Linked DNA regions of Drosophila melanogaster. The protein of the gene in region 2 interacts with the protein of the main gene of each other region in a pairwise test. Each region holds a gene or a part of one and is shown on either strand. Other genes may lie near its edges.

What was found. The genes of interacting proteins can lie anywhere in the genome.
Region 1: the proteins of CG12868 (region 2) and CG42362 interact in a two-hybrid assay, tested with the Drosophila melanogaster proteins (one large-scale study listed by BioGRID).

What each region holds. Positions count from the first base shown.
Region 1 is NT_033778.4:21,661,496-21,667,344, reverse strand, and holds CG42362 (uncharacterized protein), read right to left. Parts: upstream 3,220-5,849; 5' UTR 2,832-3,219; coding exon 2,373-2,831; 3' UTR 2,215-2,372; intron 2,162-2,214; 3' UTR 2,154-2,161; coding exon of another isoform or gene 1,689-2,153; 3' UTR 1,389-1,688; downstream 1-1,388. Other genes in the region: CG42365 (uncharacterized protein), read right to left, coding at 1-473; CG42363 (uncharacterized protein), read right to left, coding at 1,689-2,153; pirk (poor Imd response upon knock-in), read left to right, coding at 5,428-5,849.
Region 2 is NT_033778.4:14,603,057-14,607,728, reverse strand, and holds CG12868 (uncharacterized protein), read left to right. Parts: upstream 1-2,431; 5' UTR 2,432-2,528; coding exon 2,529-2,562; intron 2,563-2,623; coding exon 2,624-3,093; 3' UTR 3,094-3,180; downstream 3,181-4,672. Other genes in the region: Su(var)2-HP2, read left to right, coding at 1-312; CG33468 (uncharacterized protein), read left to right, coding at 770-800, 868-1,355; CG33469 (uncharacterized protein), read left to right, coding at 1,554-2,036; tra2 (transformer 2), read left to right, coding at 3,630-3,745, 4,228-4,381, 4,440-4,568.

The DNA of each region.
Region 1 (5,849 bases), 7.1 Mb from region 2:
TCTGTGAACTTCTTTTGAACCCGACGGTACAGTGCTCGTGCACAGACTGTTTCCACGGATATATTATTGGTGTATATGAATTCCTTGCGATTCTCGTACAACTTCCTGGTGTGCGCGTAGTCGCTTCCCAGCTCCTTTTCAGTCGTGATGAACATGTGATAGACGCGCTTTCGACTCTCCGGCTTCTCGAGGCACAGGAAGCAAAGGTACTGTGTGCCGTCGGCTGGATTAAACTTCGGTGGAGCTGCAGGCGGAGCATTGGTCTTCAGTAGAATCCTGCTTAATATCGCTGGAAATGTGTGCGGATTCACTTTGGGTGCTTCCAAGACAGCCGGCGGCTTCTTTTTGCCCCTAATACGGGGTGTATTCCATTCTGACTTGACCCTTCCGGATATATTGAGCACAGGTGCCGCTGATGAATCACTTTTGTTTGCAGATACAGGTGCAGTACGTTCTTGAGCTTCAGATTCCATGGTTATAATTTTTAGAATTTTGTAATGTGTCCCTTTTAATGTTTATGCTAATACTGAGTTGTGTTGGTCAGAGGCCACTAGTTAAATAGATGGATTGTTTTGTAAAGATTCGAAATACTCAGCTATTTCACAACATAAAAGTTCACAAGCAAAGCACAATATTAGTGGTGAGCTTGATAATGAAAGTGTTCCAGAGAATGGCAACCATATGTTTATTGATTAGGGTGGACCTGCTGATGCAGGTCACAAATTTTTAAATCGAATAATACCATTTAAAGTAAAAGGGATATGAAAACAAATATCAATTTATTCATTCGTTGCGCTTAGGAACTTAGTATAGTTAAATAGCTTTGCCCTCTCTGCGTTTTCCAGCGCATACAACTTGTTCCAAAGGTTCAAATTGTCCTTTAGTCCAATCTTTTTCATCTCAAAAACATTTCGCTGCTTATTCCACTTAACATCTGTTAACTTATTCTGAACTCTGTGGTACAAGGATCGTGCACAAAGGGTGTACAGTGTTAGCTGGTCCACGACTACGATGTCCTTTCTTTTCTCGTAGGTTTTTCGCACTTTCAGATAGTCCTTTTCAATATCCATTTCATTTGTGACGAACATGTGATACACTCGCTTTCCCAACGATGGTTTCTCCATGCACAAGAAGCACAGATTCTGCTCAAAGTCGGTTAGATTCACTTTTATTACGGGTTCCGGCGGACAATTAGATCTCAATAGTATTCTACCCATTATAATAGGAAATGATTTTGGGCTTTTTACTGGTAGATCAGAAACCGATAGAATTTTATTTTCAAGACAGGAAACGCTTTGGCTTGACTCCACTTTTCCGGAAATATTAGGCACACGTGTTTGACAAGTTTTAGAAGTACTCGAACTTTTTTCTTGAACTTCCTTTTCTATTAGTATTAGTACACTCTATTAGTATTTTACAAAAAATTCGAACTTTCTTTCTCAAAATCTATGCGGTTACTGAAACTCAAATGAATTGATAGTTGGATTGTTGAAATATGACAAGCTTAGCATTAGTCACCTTTATTTTTTATATGTATCTGGTAAAAAATAACAAATATTTTGAAATTATGGTGAAATTGAGTCAGTTATTTTCTTCAAATGGCAGATAGTTATTCGACCTCACTTAAAGCTAATTACAATATGTTATATGAAACTTTAAATCTATAAGTTATATATTACATGTTTATTTTACTTGTTGGGATCATTTTGTCTCAGATAACATAGATATTGGTAGATATCATTGCACTCTTCCTGCAAGCATTCGGATACGATACCCTGTATGTGGCGCATTGAATTCTTTTTATATTGAATTACATTTTCGTTAACCCAGTGTTCTTTGGCAATCTTCTTTTTCACGCGGAAGACCATGTCTTTGGGCAGAAATGAGCATCCACTGATGATGACTCCAATTTTGTATCCGTCAGGAACGAACTCATAGTACTGCTTGCCATTTCTCGTTATCTCAGTGGCTGCAAATCTTCCGATGGACTTTTCATCCAGATCCTTGGGTTTTTCGCCATTGAGCAGTAATTTTCGCATGTGGTTCTCAAACTCGAACTCAAAATATGCCTTAGGGTTGCTTGTTTTCTGTACCTTGTAATATAGTTCCTCGGTTTCATTTCCAATACTTAAAACGTTTGTTGTTGACGTCATTTTTGAATCTAAAAGATACTTCGTAAGTGGAATATCCTAGCATGAAACTCTTTCAGCTCACCTGCTTTAGTATTAATAATGCCCGTTTGTGTTGTTTTATTTATTTACTAATGAAATCATTTCGGGTACAAGTTTCCTCAAAGCTCTAAATTAGTGATGGGTTGATTTTGTTTATAAACAATGGGAACAACGGTGAATGGCAAACAAACCACCTCCTCTTCACCTCCTCTTAGTGTTTTCATTTAGATAACACAAATATGAGTAAATATCTGATCTTTCTTGATCCAAAGCGTTGGAAACAGTTTTGATTATGAAGTTCCTCGAATCCTTCGGATACTTAGCAACGTTTTTGGATATCCAGTGCTCCTTGCCAATCACATTCTTTAATCGTCCCAGAATACCCTTGGAGTCAAAAGTGGGTCCGCTTATCATCCAGCCATTTATCTTATCAGCCGGACCGAACTCGTAGTAGTATCCGTTCTTCTTGATTTCTTTCGCCGCAAATCTTTCGACGGATCCTTCATCACAAACATTTGTCAAAGGCTTGCCGCCATTCAGTAAAATTTTCTGTAAGTGCTTCTCAAAATCAGACACAGAATACTCATTGCGTGTTTTTGTGCTTTCGAAATCTCCAGTGCTCTCAGTGCCAATAGTCAAAACATTCGAGTTGTTATTCATAATTGTTTATATTCCTACTACCGATTGGCGTTGGTGTTGTACACTAAAGTATGATTTCGTTATGGGAGCGCTTTTTATTTGCTTACTTATGAAATAAGCACCAATAAAAGCTCACGTCAATAGAGATGGGTTCTTTTTGTTTATAACAAACTGTGAATGGTTAGTAACATATGTTAGGGTGGTTCTTAAGAGTGTACTTAAAATCTAAATATATCTACTTCATTTAATTTCTTTTAAATAACGACTACATTAATTAATATAATGTCGCTTGACTCTGTTTCTATGTCCCTAAAAATTTGACTTCAAATTTTAGATGTTAAATAGATCACAAATTTTCACATTTACCTATTTGCTATTTTATATATTTACTTTACGAACTATTAGAGATGACATGATTTTGTTTATAAACGTTGTTTGTTTAAAAATCGGTGTGAATGGCAACGATTTCATTTTGGAGTGGACCTACCATTACAATACTAATTTAATCAATTAGCTGATTATACATTTCTAAATTTATACATTTTATAAACAATTTAAATAAAAAATAATTTAGATTTTTAACTGCATTGGCTATTTAAAATATTTGACATTAATAATAAATGCATTATCTTGTTATCTGACACATATGCAATATTAATGCTTTTAACACCCCATCAAAAGTATTAAAGTATCTGTCAGAACAAGTACATAACGTTCACTTATTTCGATCCAGAACATGAAACACAACAAAGCAACGCCTCGATCTTAATGAAAGATAAAACATCTGGCATCGGTGATTTTTTGGTCGGTGGGGCTTTAGTACCGGTATTAGACGCGTGCTAGATAGTGGCTGCAGGTGGTAACAGTTTTGATGGGTTATGGGTTGTGATCGAGGGGGTTTTTTCCTGGGCTCGCACAATTTCTCCATTTGTGTGCGCTGTAACTGCGCCGTGTCATATCTGATAATACACACGATTTGCCGTTATAACGCCTTCACACCGAACAAGGCTTCATACGATTATAGCTTTTCTTGAACTTTTGCTTTTGCTTGGCGAGCACACTTGAGATAGCTGCAAAAAAAGTCCCCGTTTACTGGCCCAAAACAGCGATCTGGCAAATAAATCATTTTATAATTTTCCGCAATAGATAATTGATTTGTCAACAGTGAATGCACCTTGAAAATAATAAAAAACGACCTTCTCGGCAATACACCCCTTTCATTTGTAGCCCCATAGCTGCGGTGCTTTCCCCGCACGAGTAAACATTATTGGGCCAACTGTTTAGATGCTAGCGTGTTTATTCAGCTGGCGATCTAGATACATATGTATGCTTGACTTGGCCGGGCTTTGCTCAGCTCCAGGCTTCCCAACCGACTGAGCTGGTCACTTGAACTGGCAACTCAGCTTGGAACGATCGCAGAAAATGACAAGATCGAGAATCGGAAGCTTTCGGGATATATATATAAGTAAACATATGTAAATTAAATCGAATGCCAATGAAGTCGATTGTGCAAATTACGGGTGAGATTTTTTTGTTTGTAAACAAACAGGCTCGTGAAGCATCTAGAGGAAATCATTGCCTCCGTTTCACAGATCTCACTTGGCAACTGCGTAAATATTTATCAATTTCTAGTGCTTAAAACTTTATCATCGGTTATCGTCGGTTATTACCCCTTTAGGTTGGGGTTGGTGGGTTTTTGACTCCGCGTTTACGACTCCCAAAAATGGAAATCAGCAACTATATCAGTGGACTTATTAATGATAAGAGAAGTTAACAAAAATCCCCATCAAAGTTGGGTCTGTACTGCATAAGTTGATAACAGTCTACACAGCGAAAAGTTACAATGCGTAAGTAAATAAATTCCACTTTGATGGGTCAAGACCCGAATAACACCCATTACTATTAGGGATAAGACTATAAGCACATCATTTTAGGAGAAACTATAAAACGATAAGATACAGTAATAATGTTTGAATTTACTGGTGCTGTTAACTAAATATATATTTAAACTTTATTACTATATGCTGAAGATTTGGCTAGCTCAAGTCGATGGACGAGCCCATTGCGAGGGCACCAACAGGTGGACATTACTCATGCCGAATAAATTCGGCGACCCAATCAAAGGTCTCCCCAGATGGCGAGATGCCTTTAAGTTCGCGACTCTCATGCATACGAGGTGATTTTCGTGCCGGCCCTCGGGCGAAATAAAAAAGCCCCGGCGCTAGACTCTCCGGCGGATATAAAAGCGGTTCCCGAGCGGCATTAGCGTTCAATAGCCAAAGTGCCAGCGAGCGAGCGAGCAGTAAGCACGGCGAAAGCGATACCAGAGATCGCCAAACTCAACGCACAATAAAAGTTCAGAAAACAGAGGGAGTTCCCCTGGCGGAAGCAGACGATCCCCCAGCGCTGAATTGAATACAAAAACAACACACACAATTGGATATCTTTGACCTTAGCCATCCGGATTGCTCATCATTCGGAGTCTTCCCCCAGCGACAGAGACGGAGATAGAGATAGGAAAAAGAGTTGGAGAATGAGCTAACCGACAGACTGGACGGTGATTTTTACGAGTGATTAGCAGCGGAAAGAAACGATACCGGCGGTAATTCACACCAAAATGGGCGTTCGTGTGATAGAAACCGATTCGGCGAGCGATTCGTATGACGATGACGAGTGCTCCACTTGCCAGAAAGAGCACGAGCAGGGTAAATCCCCCAATAAGAGCAAGAAAAGTTCCACGCCGCCGGAGACAACCATCTACGCCAGCAAGGATCTGGTGGGCAACTGCAAGGAGTACCGCATTGAGAACAACACGCGCGATCTCAGGATCATCGGCAATGGCAACCGCATACGGATTGTGAACAACTCCGGGCAACTGCAAGTAATCGGCAATAGCACCAGACTCAAGATCCAGAACAATAGCGGAGCCCTCAAGTACACGGGTAACGACGGAAGGATCTACCTGGGCAGCAGCTCCACGCAGCAGGTGGTCGACTACACGGGCTGCAATGGACTGCTCAAGGTGGTCAAGTCCCTGGA
Region 2 (4,672 bases):
GTGCAGAAACCGGCGCTGTGCAAACAGCAGACGGCGCCGGCAAGAACTCTGTCCAAGAGCACAGTCTCATCCGTTGCACGAGCGAAATCAACAGGGTCTTTAAGTGCAGTGTTGGGTGAGACTCCTGCTGACGAATTCGTATCCCCCGCCGGAATGAGTCTGAGTACCACCGGAAATCCGAATGTCTTCATCATTAACCACGCGGTGCAGTCAGAGGAAAGCATCCTGCCTGACTCCAACAGCAGCGTAGGGCACATGGAAACGACGGTGATCAAAGGCGAGCTGGATGATTCTGCGGAGATTATTATATAGCAGGGCAAAGACTATAAACCAGTTGGAAAGTATTCTAAGTTACTTTAGCACAGTTAATTAAGAGTTAATTATTTCGTTGAACGCAAAATCATAATTTTGTAATTCTGAAATGAAGAATTTGTTAAACCTTACGCAGCATCGTCATTTTTTTTTTTTTTTTTTGAAATAAATGGTTAAATATTTTATTCAGTGTGGGACTTTCAAGTAAATATCTTATAGTTATCATTGCATATTTATTAAGTATCCAAATAAAATATAAATATAAACATTCTAACATTTTTTTATATAAGCCGAAACGCATAAATCGTGTAAAATAAGAAATAAGAAAAATTACATTTCGTTCGAAGCTTTTGGAGCCATTGGCGAAATCTTAAAGCTCTTGTGAAATATTACAGAGCGATAAGTATAAAAGTTGCGCAGGGGAAAAACCGTTTCTATTAACAACAAATTTTTCAAGATGACAACATCTGCTGTTGAAGCTCCCAATAGTAAGTTTAGTTAAAACTTTACAGAGGCATATTATAATGATGCACATATGTATATAATAATCTACAGGTGCATATCCCGATTTAGAAAAGCGACTGGAAAGGTATTTGCGAAGTGTGTTTTGCCTAAAGGAAATCGATACTAAAAATGAGTACATTCCAACCGAAGTGGAGTACTTTGGAGTTCTGAGTTTAAGCGATGTTCGAGCGCCTCGCCGAAAACTGTGGTACATGTACTATGCGACAACAGATCAGGTGGACAAAACTGTGGATCAGATCCATCGTAAATATGGCCAAAAGAATATGTACGAGCTGTTCAGAAAACCGGTATATACAGGGGCTGGAATGCGATCCCGTGTTAAGAACCACTTTAAAGGGCTTAAGTGGCACGTAAAAGGAAACATTTTGGAAGCCCCGCTAGGTAGCTCCCTTAATGATGAGAAAGTGGTTAACACAATTGCAGATTTATATCAGAACGAAAGGAGAAGATACTTCGATTACCTTATGTCTAGGAGTAATCTGTATAAATCGTGTACATATCGAAACATAAATGCATAAAATATTTTCATTTATGTATAAGACTTTCTAGAATAAAGCTTTAAAATAATAAATGCCAATAAATGCTAACCAGTATTCTTTTAACGCTTGTTGAGGTAGGAAGGCAAAATTGCCGCACACTTATCAATGGGCAAAGCCTATGAATCACCTTAAGTTTTCATCTGATTATATTTCTTAATAGCAGGGAATATTAGCAACATGGACGATAAATTGGAAAAGTACTGGAGACGTCTATTTTATATGAAGTCAGTTGCAGAACCTACGTCGTTGGATGCTGATACGATAGAATATTTCGGAATATTCAGTATTGACGAACCAAATGTCGCTGCCCAAAAACGGTGGTACATTTATTATGGCCTTAGATTAGAAAGGTTAAAGGTTCTGGAAAGGATTCGAAAGAAATATGGCAATAGGAATGTCAGAGAAATATTTCAGATCGCCACATTCAGCGGAGTGGGATTTCATAAAGTCGTCAGAGAATATTTCTCCAACTTAAAATGGTTCACAAGCAGAAATCAATTGGAAGCTCCACTAAATAGTTATTATAATGATGAAAGACTAGTGAAAACTGTTTCGGACTTGCATAACAAGGAGCAAAAAAGAATCTTTGACTATATAATGATACAACACGCCTGGTTTGAGCGGTATAATGATCAAAAACCACCTCCTGCTAAACATTAAACTAACTAAAAACATCGACTTACAGTCGACATCTGTTGACTAAAAGCGGCATGTGTATTTGTTGATAGGGGGTATTATTATACATTTTACAACCTATTGGTCAAGTTAAATGATTTATAAAAATATGTCGAATAAAATATATACACACACAAGTAGCTTGCGGTTATAATATAGTAGTACATAATAGTATATACCTTGGAGTCTAAAGACACAGTCATCCGATCATCCTAATCAACAAACATAAACACCCTAGTTGTCTGCATTAATAGGTATTAAAAAGAAACAAGCGCATTAAAAGCTCACTGTTTTTTGATAGGCCACAGGGTTGCTTCAAAAAGCTCTTTTGTTGTGAAATTGGAAATCGTAAACAAAACGAAACAAACTTTATACAAATCAGTTGAAATCGTATTTGTTGGGTATTTAATAAGAGTGCGTAGGAAGTTAACACGCATTCAGAAGTCAGAGAAGCAAGAGTCACCTCGTTATTAAAATATGACAACGAATTCAGTAACTGATAAGAACACGGGTAATTAAAACGGCAAATTATTTATTTGGAACATCAACGATGATTAACAACCGATTCGCAGAAGGAGATTACAACCTGGATGAGGAAATCGACAGCCATTTGAGAAAATTGTTCTGTCTAAAACCAAAAGCTGAAACACCCAAACTCAATCCCTACATAGTAGAATTCTTTGGAGTTCTTAGCTTGACAGATCTCCGTGCCCCACAAAGAAAACTATGGGTCATATATCACGCCAAGCAGCCTGATCTGGACAAGACCGTTGATGAGATCCACGAGAAGTATGGCAAGAAGAATATGTTTGATCTGTACCGCACACCAGTTTTCAGTGGAGTTGCTCTGCGGGACAGTGTGAGAAAGCACTTCTCGAACCTAAAGTGGTTTACGACGGGAAATCTCCTGGAAGCCCCACCTAAAAGCCACTTCAACGACGAGCGAGTGGTGAAAACCATCACGGATCTGCATCATCTGGAACACCAGAGACTATATAATTATGTGATGGTGAAGAATATGTGGTCTATGCGGTATCGCTAAACTAACCTGTGATTTAGGATTAAATTTGTATATGACTATCTAAAAGCAAGAATAATAAATTGTACTATTACAAAATCCATATAACATAATGGTTTGCTAACCAATCAAATAGTATTGTTTTCTTGTAGTACAAATTTTGTTTATTTTCCTATATTTCGTTGAATAAAGTACATAATAATTATGCTGATTTAATTTGTTAAATATATTCGATAACATTAAATAAATTCCGCTTGTGTTTTTTTTTTCTAAATGGATGACAACGCCGCATAAGGGTTAAAGTGCCAATCGATAACGCACGTCCTCACCTATCGCCACCCCTGTTGAAGCGTGCGTCTTTCTAAACGCAGACAGAATAAATAAAACCTGCCAAAGGCTATCAATTAATTGGTAAACACTGATTGGGTGTGCAATATAGCAGGGAATCAAACCCTCAAAAATGGTAAGAACGGCAATCCAAATAGTGTGCACCCATTCATCTTCTTTTTTCGCCACCATTGCTCCGATAAGCGAAGTTTCGATAGGTAAGCAAAAAGCCAATGGATCGGGAGCCACTCAGTAGCGGGCGTCTCCATTGCAGCGCCAGATATAAACACAAGCGATCGGCGTCATCATCGTCAGCGGGGACAACTTCATCCGGACACAAGGACCGCAGGTAAATGTGTACACACATATGTGAGACGACCCTAAACGATACCTCTTTTGACATGAAGCATCGAGTAGTTTTGACTGGCAGTTTGGAAAAAAGGTTCAACTGTCATAGGGCCCTTTCATTTGGATTTGCCCCCTCAGCCGATTCAGCTGGTGCTCTTGCCAAGAAAGTTAAAACCAAAAATCATTCAAGCCGATTTCATTTCATTGGAAGAAACCAACCAACCAACCAACCAACCAACGAACATCACTATGTAAGAACCCACCGAAGCAATCATTTTCATTCTACGTCCAACTACCAAAGAATTTGGCCGAAAGAGGTCGAACCCAACCGTAGCATTTGTCAAGTCACACAAATTTTCCAACTGTCAGTTACCAAGGCGTGCAAGAACCACCCGAAATCCACACGAAATACAAAACTTTTCAAGACCCTCAAGAACGAACCGCAAGATAATCTTATTTCATTCCATTCCACATCGAATCAAGGTCTGACTACGATTACTGTGGCAGTCGCCGGCACCAGCGGTCCTCCTCTCGCCGACGCTCCCGTTCGCGTTCCTCCTCGGAGTCGCCGCCACCGGAGCCGCGTCATCGCTCCGGACGTTCATCACGCGATCGCGAACGAATGCACAAGTCTCGCGTAAGCCATTCTGCCGATTAATGCCTCCTTTCAATCCTAAAGATCTTCGGCGTTTCAGGAACATCCACAAGCAAGCCGCTGCATAGGAGTCTTTGGACTGAACACAAATACCTCGCAGCACAAGGTACGCGAGCTGTTCAACAAGTACGGACCTATCGAACGCATCCAGATGGTGATTGACGCACAAGTAAGTCGGTTTTCGATAAGCATTGCTAAGATATTTCCTGCCTGAATCCTTTTGTGTAGACAAATCCGCTGAAGCCCTGCAGTTTTGTCTTAATTTCTGGCTAG